Linked DNA regions of Nothobranchius furzeri. The protein of the gene in region 1 binds, or shares a complex with, the protein of each later gene. Links are inferred from orthologs where the notes say so. Each region holds a gene or a part of one and is shown in the gene's direction. Other genes may lie near its edges.

What was found.
Region 2: the proteins of GRIP and coiled-coil domain-containing protein 2 (region 1) and ras-related protein Rab-6A are in contact, whole or in part, in a crystal structure (PDB 3BBP), measured with the Homo sapiens proteins. The link is inferred for Nothobranchius furzeri from reciprocal best matches to the Homo sapiens genes GCC2 and RAB6A. Residues at the interface, in NP_852118.2 of Homo sapiens: Thr1585, Ile1588, Leu1589, Glu1591, Gln1592, Leu1595, Leu1596, Glu1599, Arg1602; in NP_942599.1 of Homo sapiens: Lys15, Ile46, Gly47, Ile48, Trp67, Arg74, Phe75, Ser77, Leu78, Ser81, Tyr82, Asp85.

Annotation. Positions count from the first base shown.
Region 1 is NC_091747.1:23,131,654-23,141,315, forward strand, and holds part of GRIP and coiled-coil domain-containing protein 2, read left to right. Parts: intron 1-2,898; coding exon 2,899-3,018; intron 3,019-3,786; coding exon 3,787-3,951; intron 3,952-4,132; coding exon 4,133-4,237; intron 4,238-5,535; coding exon 5,536-5,698; intron 5,699-6,039; coding exon 6,040-6,140; intron 6,141-6,279; coding exon 6,280-6,357; intron 6,358-6,437; coding exon 6,438-6,575; intron 6,576-7,180; coding exon 7,181-7,302; intron 7,303-9,099; exon of another isoform or gene 9,100-9,244; coding exon of another isoform or gene 9,245-9,389; intron 9,390-9,566; coding exon 9,567-9,662. UniProt on the Homo sapiens protein: Golgin which probably tethers transport vesicles to the trans-Golgi network (TGN) and regulates vesicular transport between the endosomes and the Golgi.
Region 2 is NC_091750.1:48,851,901-48,861,662, forward strand, and holds the start of ras-related protein Rab-6A, read left to right. Parts: upstream 1-3,832; 5' UTR 3,833-4,107; coding exon 4,108-4,177; intron 4,178-6,644; coding exon 6,645-6,703; intron 6,704-6,779; coding exon 6,780-6,833; intron 6,834-7,280; coding exon 7,281-7,386; intron 7,387-7,529; coding exon 7,530-7,641; intron 7,642-7,843; coding exon of another isoform or gene 7,844-7,937; intron 7,938-8,809; coding exon 8,810-8,903; intron 8,904-9,517; coding exon 9,518-9,584; intron 9,585-9,762. UniProt on the Homo sapiens protein: The small GTPases Rab are key regulators of intracellular membrane trafficking, from the formation of transport vesicles to their fusion with membranes.

The DNA of each region.
Region 1 (9,662 bases):
AACTATAGGGCATGTTGTAATATTAATATATATTAATTTGCTTAGTAACTTAAATTATAACATCGACTGCATGTGAAAATAAAAAGTAACGTGAAGGGTTTACAGGTGACATTTTAGACTTGGGACTAATTTATGGGAAAGCACAGCTGTGAGCTTCCGCCGAAAGGCACAAGGACATGACGCAGCGGCAAAGACAGCTCCTATTGTAAATGAACGATAAACAACTCGCACTTGTATAGTACCTTTCAGAGTCGGAGGACTCCAAAGCGCTTTACACTACAGTGTATCATTCATCCGTTCACACGCCGATGGTGATGAGCTACTGTAGGGGAATATTGTTTTATATTCTTACACTTTTTATTAGGTCCAGATATTTTAATCAGAAGAGGTTGTTTTTACTTCAGGGAGTTTTATTTAAACACTTTGTATTGACTTAGAGACAAGAAAAGAGAGAGTTGGGATCGTAACGCTACACTACCATGTAGCTACAGCTGCCCTGGGGCTCACTGACAGAGGCAAGGCTGCCGAGCACAGGCGCCACCGGTCCCAGAATCTTCTGTCTGGAGCCAGGATCGAACGATTACTAGACAACCCACACAACCTCTGAGCTGCAAAGAAAGGTAGAGAAGTGTGTGCTGCACAGAGATTATCAACAGTAGTTTCAGTTAAAGACGTTTTTAATTTGAGAGAATGTACCAGTGTCTAGGGTTGTCATGTCCTTCGCCTTTCGGCTAAAGCTCACAGCTGCACATTGTCCTAAAGTGTAAAATAATGCCTGTAAAGCCTGTGTGTTACTTTTTATTTTAACATGCAGTCAAAATGGTTAGGTCACTAAGCAGTTGTATCACTGCCAAGGACTTTTTCTCACAATGATAGTTGGTACCATTCACTTACTGTGTTTTGTGCTAAGCTAAAGCTAAAGAAGTACCGCCGGGTCAGCAGAATGACTGGGCTGATTACAAATGGCTTTTTCCCACTTTTGTGATGCTGAGAAATATGTCAACAGACACAAATATCCCTTTAAGTAATAAAACTAAGAATATTATGTGGATTTTACAAAGATGGCAGATTATTTGTAGCTAGATTGACAACAGAAAGTGTGCAATTCAAAAAAAGCAGCAGGGGTGAAGGGACTCAAAAGAGATTATTTACTGGGTTTGTTGGAAGCAGTGGTGGTTGTAAATAAAAAAAGAACATTATATTTTCTAATATTTGTCTCCTGTTTTTCAGTTTCACTACTTTGTGGTGGTGTATTTTAGAAATGAGACAGTTTTAACCATTAGTAGGCAAGGCAGCTTCATTTATGGAGCACATTTCAGACACAGAGGTAATTCAATGTGCTTTACAATTAGCAGGAAATGACATGAAAACATGTAAAAACACAAATTAAAATACACACAGATAGAATTACAGTTTAGAGCTAAAGGAGAAGACAAAGTTACAGCGCAGATTACAGTGGAGACGACGCAGCATGAGAAACCATTCATGTAAAGGCTGATGAGTACATGAGGGTTTTAGTTGTGTTTTAAACAGCACTAGGGTTGGGGCACATCTGAGGTCATGGGGAAGCTGATTCCATATGTGAGCAGCATAGTAACTAAATGCATCTCCACCATGTTTGGTTCTGACCCGCGGTTCTACCAGCTGACATGGTTCTGACCCGCGGTTCTACCAGCTGACATGGTTCTGACCCGAGGTTCTACCAGCTGACATGGTTCTGACCCGCGGTTCTACCAGCTGACATGGTTCTGACCCGCGGTTCTACCAGCTGACATGGTTCTGACCCGAGGTTCTACCAGCTGACATGGTTCTGACCCGCGGTTCTACCAGCTGACATGGTTCTGACCCGAGGTTCTACCAGCTGGCATGGTTCTGACCCGAGGTTCTACCAGCTGATTCTGACAAGGGATCTCAGAGCCCTATTGGGTGTGTATACAGGAATGAGATTGGACATGTATTCTGGCCCCATGTCACTGAGTGATTTATAAACTAGTAGAAGCACTTTGAAGTCTATTCTGCAGTTTACTGGTAACCAGTGTAGGGATGTAAGAACAGGAGTGATGTGCCCGTTCCCTCAGTTCTTGTTAAGACTCTAGCGGCAGCATTCTGAACAAGCTGCAGTTGCTTCACAGCTTTTTTGGAAAGACCAGTTAGGGGACCACTGCAGTAGTCCAGCCGACCAGAAATAAAAGCATGAATGAGTTTCTCTAAGTCTGGTCTGGGTATGAGACCTCTGACTCTTGATGATTGATGAAGGTGATAAAAGGCTGATTTAGTTATAGCCTTCATATGTCCTGAGAAGCTCAGGTCTGAGTCACTGATGACACCAAGAAGTAGTAGTAGTTTAAAAACTAGAACTGTTATCAACAGATTTACAACATGATGAATCAAATATAAAGTTTTAAGGTGGTATTTAGAGTAAGGCGTTGTTGGTTGAAAGGGGCGAAGCTATTATTTATCTGTATTTTACCCAAATAAAAAGAACAGTGTAGATAAACCTAAAGTGAAACCAACATTCTCCAATTAACATTTAAATCTGTCTCATTCTTTCTTATGGTTTGGTGCTAAGTGGCGAGTGGAAGTGTGCGCTCTTTAAAGCATAACACAGCTCCCAGTGGTGTCTATAAACGGCACCCAGACTCTTACGCCTAAGAGGAAACTGCTCTGTTGAGTCTAATGAGAGTTTTGTCCCAAACGTCAGTGCAGATAGTTAGCCTTCACTGAGCTGTTAAGCCATCTCCATTAAGGAGTATTGAAGGTGTGTGTGTGTGTGTGTGTGTGTGTGTGTGTGTGTGTGTGTGTGTGTGTGTGTGTGTGTGTGTGTGTGTGTGTGTGTGTGTGTGTGTGTGTGTGTGTGTGTGTGTGTGTGTGTGTGTGTGTGTGTGTGTGTGTTTGCAGAACCTGCAGATAGATTACGACAAGCAGACCGAGCAGCTGGACAAAGAGCGAGAGAATCTGGAGGCAGCGGAGAGACAGATTGCTGATCTGACCAAACGACTCAGCAGTGCTGTCACACAGGTAACTGGAAAACACACTCCATCATACACACACACACACACACACACACACACACACACACACACACACACACACACACACACACATTACAGTGAGTCGAGAGACAAAGTGCCCTTCGGGTCCAGTAAATCTTGGCTTTGGGACTCTATCCAGCAATACTTTAAGCATAACTCTGTTTCCATATGATTTAAAGAGTCATTTTAGCCAGCAACACTTCTCCCAGATAAATCTGACAGGCGGGCTCCCACAAACAGCCCATCAGACGTGACTGGGTGAGCAAGGGAGAAATTGTTTTTATATACACTCGTTTCATCGAAGCTGTCTTTTTGCAACCAGAGAACCGCCAAGTAAATGGAGCGGGGTGTAGCCTCCATCTGTGCTTTTTCTGAGACACCGCTTCATTCTCATATTTACTCATGGGTCCCTGGGGAAGCACACAGACTGATGCTGGTTCGGGATCTCAGGGTACGTCCCGACGTCTCAGTTTACCCATCACACTTCCAGTGTTTGGCTGACAGCTGACCGGAGAAGGCTGGAGCTGGCGCTGGTTGAGTATTCTGTTTAGAGAACGCCCTCAGAGCCTGCTGCTGTCAGATTCACGTGGATGATTTTCAGAGTTTGGTGCATTTGCCTCCAAGCATGTGTTCTACAGAAAGTCTCCACTAAGGAAAACTAGAACAAGCCCTCCACCTTTCATCCCCTTAGAATATTTGACTGGATTCCTCCTGACACCGTAGTTAGAGAATATTGTTTTGTTTTGTTTTGCAGACGGAAACACTGAGCAGTGAGAAGGAGGATCTGTTGGCTGGTTTGGAGACCATGAGGAGCACAGTGAAGCAGTTGGAGGTCAAGAACCAGGAGCTGCAGAAACAATTAGCAAATCAAGACAATGACCTCCTGGCTGAGAGAACAATGAAGGAGCAAAAGCTTAAGGTAGAAAACGGAGAGAAACAGAAGCATGAGCAGATTTAGATTTTGCACAGTTTCACCAGAAAAATGTGTTGCCCTTTTATTATATAATATACGTTTAAGCCCCTGATATGTGTTGTAATAGATCAGTTTCACATGATTGAAGCTAAAAGAGCTGACAGTTTGTTTGCGTTTCCCTCACCAGGATTTGTCATCTGCCACGAAGGAGGTGGAGGAGCTGACAGCTCAGCTCCGCAAGCAGCAGCAGCAATCTCAGCAGGCCGCTCAGGAACTGGAGCAGCTACGCAAGGTACGCCAGCACCGAAGTGGTCTCTCAGAGCAAAATCCGGTCAAGGCACTGAACTGCTTATGACTGCCCTGAAGCTACAGCTGCACCTCAGAGAGAGAGAGAGAGGGAGCAGCTTTAGCCCACAGCCCAAAGAGCTGCTGTTAGTTTCCATTAGTGGAGACCTGAATGTTCCAGCAGGGTGCATGACAGCTGCCTGCAGGTCTGGCTTTGTCTGGGGTCCACTTTACTGGTTTCATCTAGAGAAACGGACTTTCTCAGGCTGGTGTTTGTGCCGAGTCTAGGGAGAATTTTATATTTAAACATTTTAAAATAGGTTTTATTTTACTTTTTACAATAAGATATAGTAATTATATTTGATTACATTCATACAGAAAATACAACGTATTGCTTGGACTTTAGAGTGAATTCAATTCAGTTTATTTTTATAGCGCCAAATCACAGCAAGAGTCATCTCAAGACACTTCTAATTAAACCCACTTATTATTCAAATTAGTTAAAAGTTTCCTTTATAAGGACAGTGGAGAGGAAAACTCCCTTTTACTAGGAAGAAACCTCCAACAGCCATCTGAGCAGCCATCTGTCACGACCATCGACATAAATATACTGGACATCTCCTTTCCATAGGCTCCAATATCACATTTTTGAGGCCAAATGGGAGGTGGCCACCGCCGCCATTTTGACCGTGTATTCCCCTCATCCGCTGGGTGGAACTGCAGTTTATTTCATTTCCGGGTTTGACTCAATTTTAGAGATGCATTGTGGGGGCTTGGTCACGCCTCACTGGGATTTAGGACAGAGCACACACACACACACACACACACACACGCACACACACACACACACACGCACACATGAACTAGTAGCACATTTTATGATAAAGAAAGTAAAAAGTTCATATCAGGAGTTGCTAAATCAAACATTGTATTGTGTTTGTCACGTATACTTAAATTTTTGCAAAGATCTGTAAAGGTCATGTCCTTAAATAGGGTTTTAGCCAAAAGCATGTGATTATTTTTCTGTTCAACATGTGGAACAGACCACAGATGCATCCAGGTGCTTTTTACAAATGCATCTGATGTAACAGGAAAGTTTTCAGAAGAGAGCTAATGCTACTCTTGGACCAGCAGGACAGTATCTCCAGAACAAGATACAGTCTTAAACTGGACATTGTACTAAATCGGGTTAATCGCCCGATAATGGGCTAACTAGTTTTATCACTAAACACATTTTTCTTTGTCTGACTGAGAAGCTTCAGCTCTCTTCACATTAATGATGTAGTACTTTGACTCTGCCACTAGGAGGCGCAGCAGAATTCCCTGCTGGACATGGAGATGGCCGACTATGAACGTCTGGTGAAAGAACTCAATGGCAAGCTGAGGGAGAAAGAGGCGCAGCAGGAGGAGTTAAAAGCCCAGATTAGCAGCTTCACTCAGAAGCAGGAGACGCTCAAGCAGGAAATCGGTACCAATGCAATGTTTCTGTACTTAATAAAGTTTCATTCAAATAACAGTTTGTTGTTGGTTAGTTTTACCCCATAGATTCCAAAATCCTTAAATTCAGATTTATTTTATTAGAAAATACAAAAGTAGCATCAGTAATTCCTGCATATTCCTAACGATTGACCTCGTTGTGCAGCTGTAGCATCGTTGATGTGTTTATCTGTAACGTCCACCGTGTTTTCTGGTGCTCCATGCAGTCAGTTAGCAGCAAGGTGACAGACTAGACCATAAATATCACTGAATATTTTTTTTATTTCATTTTTTGTCATGCTCGTGTGCACACATCTCACATCACGTCTCCAGAGGCTTTGAAGTCTCATTTGGACCAGGAAGAGGAGAAGACCATGAAGATGAAACAGCTGCTGGTGAAGACAAAGAAAGACTTGGCAGATGCCAAGAAACAGGTGTGTGTGTGTGTGTGTGCGTGCGTGCGTGTGTGTGTGTGTGTGTGCGTGTGTGTTATCCAGCCTTGTGTAGGCATGGCTGTGACTACATGTCTCTGTGCTGATGGTGGTTTTTATCTGTGTGTGTTCAAACATGCAGGAAAGCTCGCTGATGATGGTTCAGGCTTCTCTGAAAGGAGAGCTGGAGGCTAACCAGCAGCAGCTCGAAAGCTCTAAGGTAACAATTGGAGAACTTCCCAGAACCCAGCAGCTGATCCTTACGCAGCTGCATCCTAAACTGTGTGCTTGTGCTTTTAGATTGAGGTGTGTGAGCTGACAGCCGAGCGCCATCGTCTGCAGGAGCAGCTCAGGTCTGCGCTGGAGCAGCAACACCGAACCAGCAGCTCCCTGCAGCAACGCATCCACGGTCTGCAGCAGGACAGAGACACCGCTAAGGTAACATTCCTTTCTAGGCCTCGTTCTGAAGTTTTATTCGACATTCACTCAGGAAGCTCAATGGGATAGGAACAAAGGTGAAGGGCACTGTTCAAGTAAACATGATCACTACTGAGATAAATGCTCACATAAAGGTTAAGACACCAATAATTGGTGCATGGTGGCGCAGTGGTTAGCACTGTTGCCTCGCAGCATGAAGGTTGCAGGTTCGAAACTCGGCTGCGGCCTTTCTGCGTGGAGTTGCGTGTTCTCCCCATGCATGCGTGGGTTTCCTCCGGGTACTCCGGTTTCCCCAACAGATCACAACATGCCCTATAGGTTATAAACTGTAAGTCGCTTTGGATAAAAGCGTCTGCCAAATAAATAAACAAATAATTCCACATATTGGAATAAAACATAACAGAACTCTGTGTGAGGTTTGTTCCAGGTATTAAAAACCTAATTTTAAAGCATTTCAAGCCGGTTAGGGTAATTCATGAAATGTTTCTGGGCATATTTAGATGAGCTGCGGTTTCTCTTATTAGAGGTAGATTGTGTGATTTAAAGAACAAAAGTGTCTCTGTAGAGAAACGTGTTACCTTTTCATCATCCGTTTGTTTTTCCAGGCTGAGCTTGTAACAACAACCAGTGAGTTTGAGAGTTACAAGGTACGAGTCCACAATGTGCTGAAGCAGCAGAAGAGCAAAACCAGTGCCCAAAGCGAAGGAGACTCTGGCAAAAGAGAAAGGTGAGATCAATGTGACGGTGCAGTAAAGCAATCAGGTGACGTCCACCTTAATAAAGACTCAATCAGCAGGTTACTTTATTTTATTTACTTTATTTAAAGAGAGGACATTGCATATTTATGAACAGCAATACAACTAAATATGCCAGATTGTAGCCTTAGGCTAATCTCCATCTGCAGTCCTCTGGCAGGTTCATGTAAAGAGGTAAGACAGACAACAATATACATTTAAAAAAAAAAAAAAAAAACAGTTAGGAACTTATTTTACAAAAAAGACAAGAGTAAAAACAAAAGTCTCATCTATGATTGCATCTTTGAGTTTCCTGTAGCCACAGTTTGAATTGTCTTTTGAAAATAATAAAACTTGAGCTTTCTCTCACTTGAGTAGGAATGCTGTTCCAAAAAGTCGAGCCCTGGAATGACAGAACATTTTGAGAAAATGTCGTTCGCCTAAGCGTGCGCTCACAGTCACCTCCAACTGTAGCTCGAGTTAATCGGGAAGAGTCCCTATGTGACTTTTGAATAATAAAATCATTCAGTGGTGGAGGGGCTAGACCATGAATAACTTGGCCAGGCAAGCAGATTTAAAATGTTTAAAATTTTGGAAACTCTGTATAGAATATTTATCCAGAATCGGACAGTGATGATACATTGGCTTTTTGTCCAGGAATTTCCTTGCCCTTTTATAGCAGGACTCAACAGGTCTGATAACAGAAGAGGCTGTAAATGACCAGCTGGTGATGTTACAGCGATGTTCCCTTCACTCTACCCTCCAGTGAAATGTGTTGGAAACAAAACCAGAATAAAAGGTTAAAACGCCACTTCTTAGCAACTATTTCAGCCAATTTTATATATATAGTATATTATCATTATCATCATCAAGGCTCCTGCGAAGGGTCGGGTGTCATCCCGCATCAGTGCGTTGAGCCTACCAGGTAAACTAGTTGTCTCCAGTGCTGGCGGTTTCGTGCCAGCTGCTCTGCATTTGCTACAGCAACTCCGAATAGTTGGGAGGTCGCCCGCAACAACAAAGAGCCATCGGGTCATCTCCAGCCTGCGGCCCACGGGTCAAACTGCAGAATGGCTCTGGTCGAGTGGTCAAAAGAAGGACGGAGGACATGGCCGAGCCAGTGGGTGTGGCGTTGCGCTGCCAGGCAAGATGCACTGGGCTGGCACGTGCGTTCTCTTCACACTTGGTTGGAGACCCGCTGGGGCCACCTGATGTTCTCAATGTTCTCAGAGCCCTGCTATCAAAGCTATCCATTCTTCTGGCCAGTGAATTCGTTTTGTCCTCACAAGCTCACATAGAAGGAAACATGGAGTTTAATATGGCATTGCCCAAAGACTTGGACCCACTGTCATGTATTTTAGATCTGATTTTTATGGTTATATGTTACAAAGCTGCCAATATTTATTCAGGAAATGACTTAACTGACCTTTGGAGTTTTAAAGCCACACACACACATATATAGATATAGATATATAGATAAGTATTTTAATGTGAAATCTAAAAGCATGCTTAAATCAAATATAACCATCAGTACATGCTACATAAATCAATCATTTCTTTTAAGAAACTAAAAGTATAAAAAAGATTCAAAGCATCAGGAAAAACTCAATAAGCCTAGGGAAATCACAGATTGTGTACATGGTGCAGACAACACTCATCAGGAGAATGATCCACATGAAGGCTGCTAAAGCAAATCTGCAGAACAAGCTCGGTTCAGTCACAGAACACTCGGGCATCCTCCATGAGATGCTTCTGCTGGAACCAGAAGCCCACCATACCGGAGGAAAAGAGATGGCGCTAAACACCTACCGCTGTTTTCTAGGTCCACGCGTCTTTTGTTGTTCGTTACTTCAAATGGAGTTGTTCTTTTTGGGACTCTGGTAGTTTGTCCTAAAGCTGAAGTGGTAGCAGCCAGCTGTTTCTCCTTCTCTGGTGTTACCGAGCGGAGAACCTCTCACACCTGTGGTGTTCTGGTGCTGAATACATGAGTGTTTGATGAGTGGAGGACCAGGGAAGTGTGACGGTTCGGTGAGACCAACGACTGGATGGTCCAATCAATGGTTGGTTTGTTGGTGGAGGCCTTTAGACAAATGCAAGAGAACCACTATATTAATTTTTAATTATTTCTAATCTCCACAATATATTTATAGCTATAGTATGTTAGAATGTTGTTAAGAGGCATGATAAAATGTTTTAAAATTTGCCGTTGCGGCTTTAAGGCTGTAACTCTAATATGAACATGTGGTATCCTTTGCAGGGAGCAGTTGTCCTCCCAGGTCGACCAGCTGAGGACCAGACTGACGGAGAGCCAGCAGAGCCTCCTGAGCAGCACAGCAGAGCTGCAGCAGCTCCA
Region 2 (9,762 bases), on another chromosome or scaffold:
CTGAACTCACTGCCTCCCCCCTTCTCTTTGCCTCAGTTTTCTCCCCCCGCCCCAGTGCAATGATGCTTGTCCTCCCCCTGCAGCACCACTCTGCTCTGCGCTACAGCATATGCTATAGCTCACAGTATGACAGCCATGATCACCCTCTCTCTTCCACTTTCCTCTCCCCGTCCTCTATCTGTTCTCTCCTTCTCCTCTTCCTCCCCTGTCTCCCTCCTCCTCCACCCCCCTCTACCCTTACTCCCAGTGCACTCTGTGTACTTCAGGTGCACTCTGTGCCATTGGTGCTGCTCTACACTCGTCCTTGCATTGTGGTTCTTTGCCTTTGCTGCACCCCTGCTGCTCTAACCTAAACACACACCACATACAGCTGATCTTCCTTGGCTCACCTTAGCCAACAGCACTGTAAACACACACACACACTTTCACACAGCGACAGCTCTGAATCCCTCTCTCCCACTTCCTACAGAGGACTGCAGATCCAGACCAGCACACAAAGCTCCTGCCTGCTAAATGTCACTTCATGACTGGAGGAATGGTTGCTCTCTCGGAGCTCCGAGCACTACACAGACCTGTAAAAACCTGCACACACATACATACGCTCAGAGCCGCGTGCACAAACATGCTGCCATCCAGGTCCTCAGTAATAAATCAGCTGCCTTGCTGCATCCAGCGAGAATTAACCAAAGCACTTTGCTGCAGACCTGCTGTCCTCTTTCGTCCTACTGGCAGATTTCAGCACACTCCGATGCCCAGAGTCATGTCTGCTGCAGGGAGCAGGGATGAAAAGCTGTCCTGTAAAACCTATTTCTGGGCTCCATCATCCAGCATCCCCCTTTCTGCCTCCCCCCTCTCTCTCTCTCGCTCCACCTCCGTTCTCTTCCTCCTTCCCCTCTCTCCCCCGTTCCGGTTTGTTTGGATCTCAGTCCTGCCAGCTACCTCTGTCTCAATGGTCGGTCCCCATCTCTGCTCTCAGAGCTCTGTGCTCTCCTCTCTGTCCCTGTGCCTCTTCCTCGCTCATCGCTCTATCTCTGTCACACTCTGTGAGCATGCAACACCCCCCTCCCTCCTCCCTCCCCATCATCTCAGAGATCTGCTCCCTCTCATCTCTCTCCCTCTTTCACTCCCTCCCTTTCGTCTTCTCGCCTCCTCTGGTAAATGTGCTTGGATTGCTACCCTGATCGCTGCTTCACTTATGCTTGCAAGACTCCCTCCTGCTGTACTGCTGCACCTGTCTCAGGCTGACGCTGAACAGGGCGAATCTGAGATCTAACCGCACCTCCTGGCGTGTCTCAGCAACCCTTTGTTCCGGGACCTCAGCCGTGTTTCATGTTCACTTCAAATGATCTCTTCCTCTTTTAACCTCCTGGAGGAGAATCAGAGGAACTCTTCCATCACATCCACTATTTATCTCCTCACCTTTGTCTATCTTACTGTACTGAGTACAAAAACACACCTATTTGATCCTCACCCAACCTTAATGCCCTTTCTGTATTTCCTCTCATCGTGTTTCTCAGTTCCCCCACCCACCCTACATGCAAGCCTCCATGCTCTCTCTCGCTCCCTCTCAGGAGAAATGAGCAATGTATTGTACTTTGCAGTGACATTGAAAGCTGCATTCATTGGATTTATGTTAAGGTTGAGAGGAAGTATGCTGGTCCTCCACCATTACGCCCACAGATGCAGGCAAACGTACGGTGTGCAGTCAACACACTCACAGCCGCAAGACAAATACATCTGCATTCCTTCCACTAAAGCCCAGGGGAGAGGGTGATTAAACTAAAGAAAGAATCACAAAGTTGCTTCCCGAGATGTGAGTCATAGTAATAAGGCTTTCCCTTTCAGGACGCTGAGCCAAGTTCTGCAGAAGTAAACGACGCAGGGTGCAGCACAGCAATGTGAAGTCCTGGCTACAGAGCATGTCCTTGAGCTTTTATGGAAAATTCAAAATTATATTAAAGTGGATTCTCAAAGAAAAATGATGAAGTGAAGCCATTTTCCATAACCTTCCCTCCAAATGTGAACGCGGTAAAGATGAAGAGAGACTGGGGGGGACATAGATCTACCGAGATTTTGCCAGATCAGCATCTTCAGCAGGGGGACTGTGGAAAGGAGGGGTGGGGGTATTTTCCTTACCAAGGACATAAGGCGTAGGAGTGCTAAAGCAAAGAGGGGGATCAGTGGAGTGTGATGGCTTTGGTTTGGCAGAAGCAGAGCAGCTGAAGCGCTGGCATCAGCCAAACGGCACTCCGGGAATGGGACATGAATGAGAAGGGGCGCAGGTGTGTGTCTTCTCTTCAGTGACCTAGAAGGGTTAGCTAAAGCAGGCACAAAAATACCGCAGACTTTAACTCCACTGTAGGGATCCAGAATTTGGATATTTTTACATTTTTTCAAGTCAAATGTTGATTTCCCTTTTAAGGTTGTGTAATCTCACTAAATTACAACATCTCCTACTCTGAAACATTACAAAGGCCATGAAGGGACTTTGATTAGTGTTCTGACCTCTAAAACGTTCATGACGTGTTGTAACAAGGGAGGAAATGAGGATATCAAAAATGATTGTTAATGAATGAGAGTTGTGTTGAGTTTCAGGAGAGCACAGGTGTGTTAACAAGGGCTGCATTCCATTTAGAAGTGCTGTGTGAACCAGCTGCAGGATGGGAATGCAGTTCTGCTTTTCTTGCGAGGCCAATTGCATGAATTAAACAAGAATCAGACCCATTTTTATGAACATTTGCAACAAAATGAAACTTGTACTTTCACTCTGACACCCATCTCTGCATAGGGAGCTAAAGAGAGTCACCTTGTAAATTGCCAGAGGGCTTCATAACAGCTGTCGTCCTACAAGCTGGAGGTCACCAGCTGTAAAGGCTCCTGTAAACAACAGAATCAGATGACAGTTTAAAAACGTGTCAGACAAAGCCGGCTCCACAAAGTTCTACTATCACACCTACATCCTGTTAAACGTGATCTAATTTTTGTTAATGCCAAATAATTAATGCCAGTTGATTTTATGTTGAAAGGCTGCCAGCAAGTGCTGCCATCACTATAGTGACTATAAAACCACACATGTTAATCCTGCAGTGATGTCTCAAAATAGTCCACCCTGAGCAAAGACAAGTGACATTATTCAAGCATCAACAAGGCTGATGATCAGAAAAGTGCACACCAAAATAATGCACTCTCTTCCAAAATATATTGTAATTTAAATTTTTGATCTAACCTTTAGGTCTCCTTTGACCCCAATTAGTGACCCAAGTGTTGCTAATTAGCATTTTTGTTAAAAGCACTATTTGCAGCACAGATCTTGCTCGTTTTCCTAGTCTTTGTATTTACCTCATCAAATTAACTTGAGCAAATTAAACTGAAAACATTAGGTGTAACTAGGATGAAATAGCAAAATTTGCAAGAAAATAGTTGAGACAGATTTGTTGACTAAAATTTATTAAAGAATAAACTTATGGAGACTGTATCATACCGTGGTGATAAACACAACCACAGGACAGACCAGGTTCTTCAGAACAGCTCATAATAATTAGATTAAAATCTAAATTGCTTAGTGTGTGAAATGTCTGCAGTGGTGTGAGCCCGCCCTCTTGTGGACATATGAACATAAAACATGTGTCCAACACGAAACCCATGTTTTACGTTTCCAGATTTGTTTAAATTCTACAGTTAATCTAGAAATTATATATGAATGTAATCATAATAAATCCGTATTCTGCATGGTATAATCCAGCTATCATCTTCTTGCTGTTGAATTGTTTTCAGTTGTCATTGTTGTTTGTTTTTGTTTCACCGCTAGATGGCAGCATAACGGTTCGGCTGTAACAGCAAATACGGCGCGAAGAAGAAGTGGCCCGGTGTAGTTCGCTGATCTGCTGGACTGAGGCTAACTTGGTAGTAGTAGTCACAGAGTTGTAAAATAGTATATTAACGCTAAGAGGGGTGGTTACAGAACAGCACACATCAACAAGTGGACAGGTTTAAAGGCTGGCACACGAATTCCGGACCTTTAAATAGTGAGAACAGCTGCTTAGCTATCATTTAGCAGGCTAGCTGGAGAGTTTCTGAAGAGGATTGTCGGGTTCGTTTGATCCAGTCATGTCTACGGCCGGAGACTTCGGAAACCCTTTAAGAAAATTTAAACTGGTCTTTCTTGGGGAACAGAGTGGTAAGTTTCTCACTGGCTGGGAGAAATAAAAACTTAACTATATTTAAACTTGGTTTCCTTAGGATGTATAGTTGAGTTACTCCGGTGTTTAACGCCAGTCAGTTAGCCTGCTAACATTAGCTGCAAATCGTAATACTTGTTAAATTGCGACACAGTTGATGTCGTCTTGTCCACGCTGGCTCCGGCGTTCACTCTCACCTAGATGACTCATGATCGTGGAAATGGACTTGTTCACCAGGTCACTAACCGCAGTGGGCTCGAATACCAGCGTCAGTGACGTATGAAGTTTCATTTAGAAGAACACGGGTCAGTTTTAAGTGGCAAAAGTAGTAAAACGTTCGGTTTGATTATAAATACTTTCCTTTATGACGCTGCTACAGTGTTTTATCATTGTTTATTAACTAGCATTCCCAGCTTTAGTGTGTAAACGTAACAATGATTACATTCATCATCTTTTTTCCTACCCTTGGGGCACTTACCATAATCCAAACCTGCCTGGTCACATTCCTACACTCCCCCATTGACCTTTGTTCCAGTCAGGGTTCACAAACAATCTGCCCCAAAACTGAAAGATGTTTGCGGTACTCTGAACAGTGTAGTGCTGTTATTAGGTTAAGTACATGTATTTCCCTCAAGCTTTAGCTAAAACACCACTGTGTGAGCTTAATTTGGGGTTTCAGGTTGGTTTGGTTTAGCTGAACCAAGTCTTTTCTGTTCTTATGCAAGCTGTTGGTGACCCATTATAACAGAACTTCATGTAAAAGCTTTCTTTTTTTTATAATCATGAATATGTTTCTGATATAAAACCTTTCTGGAGATGAATTTATGCAGGAAAAAGACGATGTCAAACAAATGATGGCTTCTTATGTTTCTTGTTAACCTCTATGAAAATTTAGGTCCTTTTATTATCAAAAATGTTCTTATTTTTAAGTTTTTAACACATTTAAATGCTTCATCCCATGTTCACGGTCCAGTCTGCTTTGCATTACTTTCTGGGAATGAATAATATAGCCATATATTAGGGCTGCACAATATATCGTAAATATATCGTTATCGCGATATCAGCATGAGCAATATGCATATCGCAAAGAACATAAAAATATCGCATTGAATGGTCAGCTCAAATGTTTGCTTCACATAATGTGTTCTGTCAATCAGAAACATGATGTTTTTTTAAACAAATCAAAAAGAGCTCTTCACCCATTTGGCCAATCAGGTGGGATCTCATAGTTTAGGTGCCCGCCCCCGAGGCAAACGGCACATAATTTTAATGGTTAGCAAACACAGTTAGCTTTTTTCTGCTCTTTCTGCTGATTCTGCCTTTCCCGGGATCCACTGATCGCCTTTTCTTGATCGTTTTCTTTTTCCTTTTCCTCACATCTTTTGCGTTTCTCATTTTTATGATTTTTTTATTTCTTTGTTTTTGATTATTTTTGTTCCTGAATTAAGTTTTTATTTATCGAAAGTAATATCGTCATCGCAATATTAATCACTGATATCGAATATTGCAGGTTTCCCTAATATCGTGCAGCCCTACCATGTAGATTTTCCGAATAAACTCAAATCATCAAAGGAATGAGCTGCAAACAAATTTCCCTCTAATCTCTAATTTCCCTTTGGGATTCATAAAGCATTTTTGAATTTGAATGTACACACAAGCCCTTAGAGAGCCTTTTTCTTTGGTATGTCTGATGGTCTTCACTGCAACACTCACTTTCCTTTAGGGTGAGAACAAGACATTCTACAAAATCTGACCTTTCCTTATCATTCGGTACATTTATTTCCACGTGGCACAGCCTTTAATGGGACTCATCCAGATAAGGCAGACAGATATTGTGTTTGCTCATCTGTAATCAGCGGTTGGTCCTTGCTGCTGTGTTGGCTTCAGCTGTGTCACCGTCACTTGATGCACGCTGTAACCGATATTGTAACTCGAGCTCGACACAGAAACGGTCTGAGGCCGAGGAGCTCAGCCCCAGATCTCAAACCAACATGAATCCACTCAGCAGCAAATGTTCTCCACAAAAATACCCCAGATATACAGTATACTCCACTCAACCTTTACTTATACAGCGCCGTTCACAGAAATAAAATTCACAAAGTGCTTCACTGTAGATCTAACAATAAAAAGTAACATCAAGATATTAACAATAAAATTTTATTTATAGTATATAAAGTACTTTATGAATTGTTTACATATGCCAGATGTTACTTTAATAACTTTTAATTTATGAAATGTGAACAAAAACTTGAAGCTGTAATTTTATTACATTTGTGACAACGTGTCATTTTCTTTTGGGCTTTAGGTCATCATTGTGTTTTCTTGTGGAAGAAAACTCGATTCATTTATTTTAATTTGGTTTCATAAATATTCTGATGTTTTTAATCAATGAACTTATGTTCAATATTTGTCAAAAACTTTTATTTTGGTCATTTTGAAATATTTAGTCCTTTGTTTGTGTTTCAGTGGGAAAGACTTCATTGATCACCCGGTTTATGTATGACAGCTTTGATAACACATATCAGGTGAGTTCACCTATTCTTTGATTATAATTATGCTGATTGATGCTGACTAAAGGTAATTTTCCCCATTTGTTGTCAGGCAACAATAGGAATAGATTTCCTTTCAAAGACCATGTACCTCGAAGACAGAACAGTAAGTTTATTTTCATCTCCTGTAGGGTTTGGGTTGGTAAAGAATCTGTGTGTTTTCTCCACCAAACACACACACACACTCAGGGCTGGTTTTTCTCTCTAATGTGATTATGGTGCCATTTAGCTTCACTGTTTGTACCAAGTTTTCTCCCTCTTCTTCCCACCTCTGCATTAATCCATCATCACATTTTAAAACAGAAAACTTTACCCTGACGAGTGAAGGGTGACTTTTTCTTTCCCCTCCAGGCCCAGACAGCTTTTCTACCTGCATGCACTACTCCCTCTGTCTCTGTTTTCCCTTCAGCCATACTTTATTTGTTCTTCTTTCAGTTTGCTTGTCATCACATAAACTTAGCTTGTTTGTCTTTTTTTTTTATTTATTCCATTGTCTCTGTTTTATTAGATTTTATTTCTTTATTCTTTGTTCCATCCTCTTCCTGCCCTACAGATTCGGTTGCAGCTGTGGGACACGGCGGGGCAGGAGCGATTTCGCAGCCTGATCCCAAGTTACATCAGAGACTCGGCTGCTGCTGTCGTAGTTTACGACATCACAAGTAGGTGATGCCACATCTGGAAATAAAACACATCCTCATACATCCGCTGTTATTGTAATGTCTTCTTGTCGCTCATTCCTTTGATTTTTAGGCTTTCTCTTCCTGAGTAGTGATGCTCTGCTTCCTGTTTGGTTTCCTTTTAGATGTCAACTCTTTCCAGCAAACTACAAAGTGGATCGATGATGTGAGAACGGAGAGAGGAAGTGATGTCATTATTATGTTGGTGGGAAACAAGACAGATCTTGCAGACAAAAGGTAAGTTTTAAACCAGCTCAAATCACTGCTTCCATTTAAACACCAGCCTACCACCAGCCGATCTGCAGCGGAACAAGTTCTCTCTTCTCTTCGTTGATGTCATTTGTGATGATTGTTTTCTGATTTACGTCTGTCTAGTTGATGCTTTCGGTCTTCCTGTTTCTTTTTTTGTTGCATCTTTTAACTTCCTTATCTACCACAGGCAAGTATCTATTGAAGAGGGTGAGCGGAAAGCCAAAGAACTAAATGTAATGTTTATTGAGACTAGTGCGAAAGCAGGCTACAATGTCAAGCAGGTAAGGATGTGTGTGAGCCGTGCTCTGTAGTCCTGCTGCAGACGCTGCACACCGAGCTTCAGGACCAAAAGTCTCCCGCTCCGATCAGACCAGATGAAGAAGTCAACTTAAATAACAAAGGAGTTTTAATCAAAGTTGTGCAAATAGCTGTGAGATTGTTTTTCATTTCCTGTCTTGGTTTTCAGGGAATTTTGATACCTTTTAGAATTGTTGATTTAGGGTTAGAAATGAACATTTGTACCAAGCTCTCCTTTATTAACCTAAACAGCAAAAACCTGATCATGACCAGAAAATAGTGAAGGAATTTTATTTAAATAACAAGTTCAATTAAACTTTTATCCACTCAAATAATGTTTTATTTCCCACAGATGTTGTTGCGTTGTTTTAATTTGACTAGCATGTAAATTATTCTCTGACTCCATTGGCGTGCACATTCATATTCATAGTTTTCTTTAGACTTTTTTTTTTATTAACAAGCTTTACAGTCAGTTGGTTTATAATCTTTTTTTTTTTAATAAATGTAGGTGACTTTAGAGCAGAAGTCTGATGTAGTTTTGAGCATTTTTGGCACAGTGTGATCAACTTTATCTCCTTAAAGGAGAATCCTCCTTTTGCTCAGGGGTTTTCTGGGGGTGCGTTCACAAGCATTAGAGCTGCATGTAGAAGCCACAAATATTAAAGATGGCTGGGAGGCTTTTGGTCTGAGGTAAGGTGGCAGTAGCAGCAGGGAGGAGCACGGCTTGTTGATGTGCTTCAGTTTAATCACAGTGTGTTTTTGTGTTTTTCTCCTTTTGTTTGTTTTAATGTCTGGTGGATTGTGCGTGTCCCGGGGTGTTTGTGTGCTGTTCGTGGTGACTCCTGGCTCGTCACAGACAGATAACCACAGAGGAAGGAGAACAGAGAGCAAAAGAGATGAATGTTCTGTTTGTTGAGACCAGTGCAAAGACAGGCTACAATGTCAAACAGGTAGAGCGTGTGCAAATTTGTGAGTGTGTTCGTAGAATTCCTGCCTTGATTTGATTGGCCTCTCCTGCACACTCCCACGCGTGCACAAAGATGTGCTTTAAACCTCTGCTTCTGTGAGATGCATGAGATTAGTTTTTCAAACTCTCTCCCACCTGAACGTGATTTGTTTGGGCCAACTTTAAATTACCGTTGTTCTGACGGGTCAGAGTTTGCAAACCCAAGCCCAGCACTCTGCTGATTACCACGGTAACAGTGCGTGTGTTGCTAGGAAATCTGCATGTGGTTTCATTTGATGCATTTCTTTGGGAGGATTAGCATGTTTCTGTAGCCCAACAAGGATCCATCAGTCATTTAAAATATTTTTTCCCGCTGAGTAGCTCAACCTCGTTTTCCCAAGGCTCTCATACAAAGCATGTCTCCAACGCCAGCTGTTTTTCTAGTTGTCGACTTTGGACAAAGCTCTGATGAGATGTCTTGTGTGCAAGCTTTATTTGAACGTATGCTTTATCATGAACAGGGCTCACACACAGCACACAAGCATGTTTTATTGTTTTTTTAATCATATTTTTTTTAAATATTTCTGACAGAATTATTTTTTATTTTTTTACCTGCAGCTGTTTCGCCGTGTGGCAGCTGCCCTTCCTGGGATGGACACCACACAGGACAAGAGCAGAGAGGACAGTATCCTTTTGCATATCTTTGTCTGACATGATGGGGAGGTCATGTCATATCAAATCATTCTAATATTTTCTGCCATGGGGAAAGTCTAACGTAGCATTATGACATCTGCTTTAGTCATTTAACCCTCATAACACTTTAGATCTGTTCACCCAAAAGCACATGTGATCCAGCTGAGGAA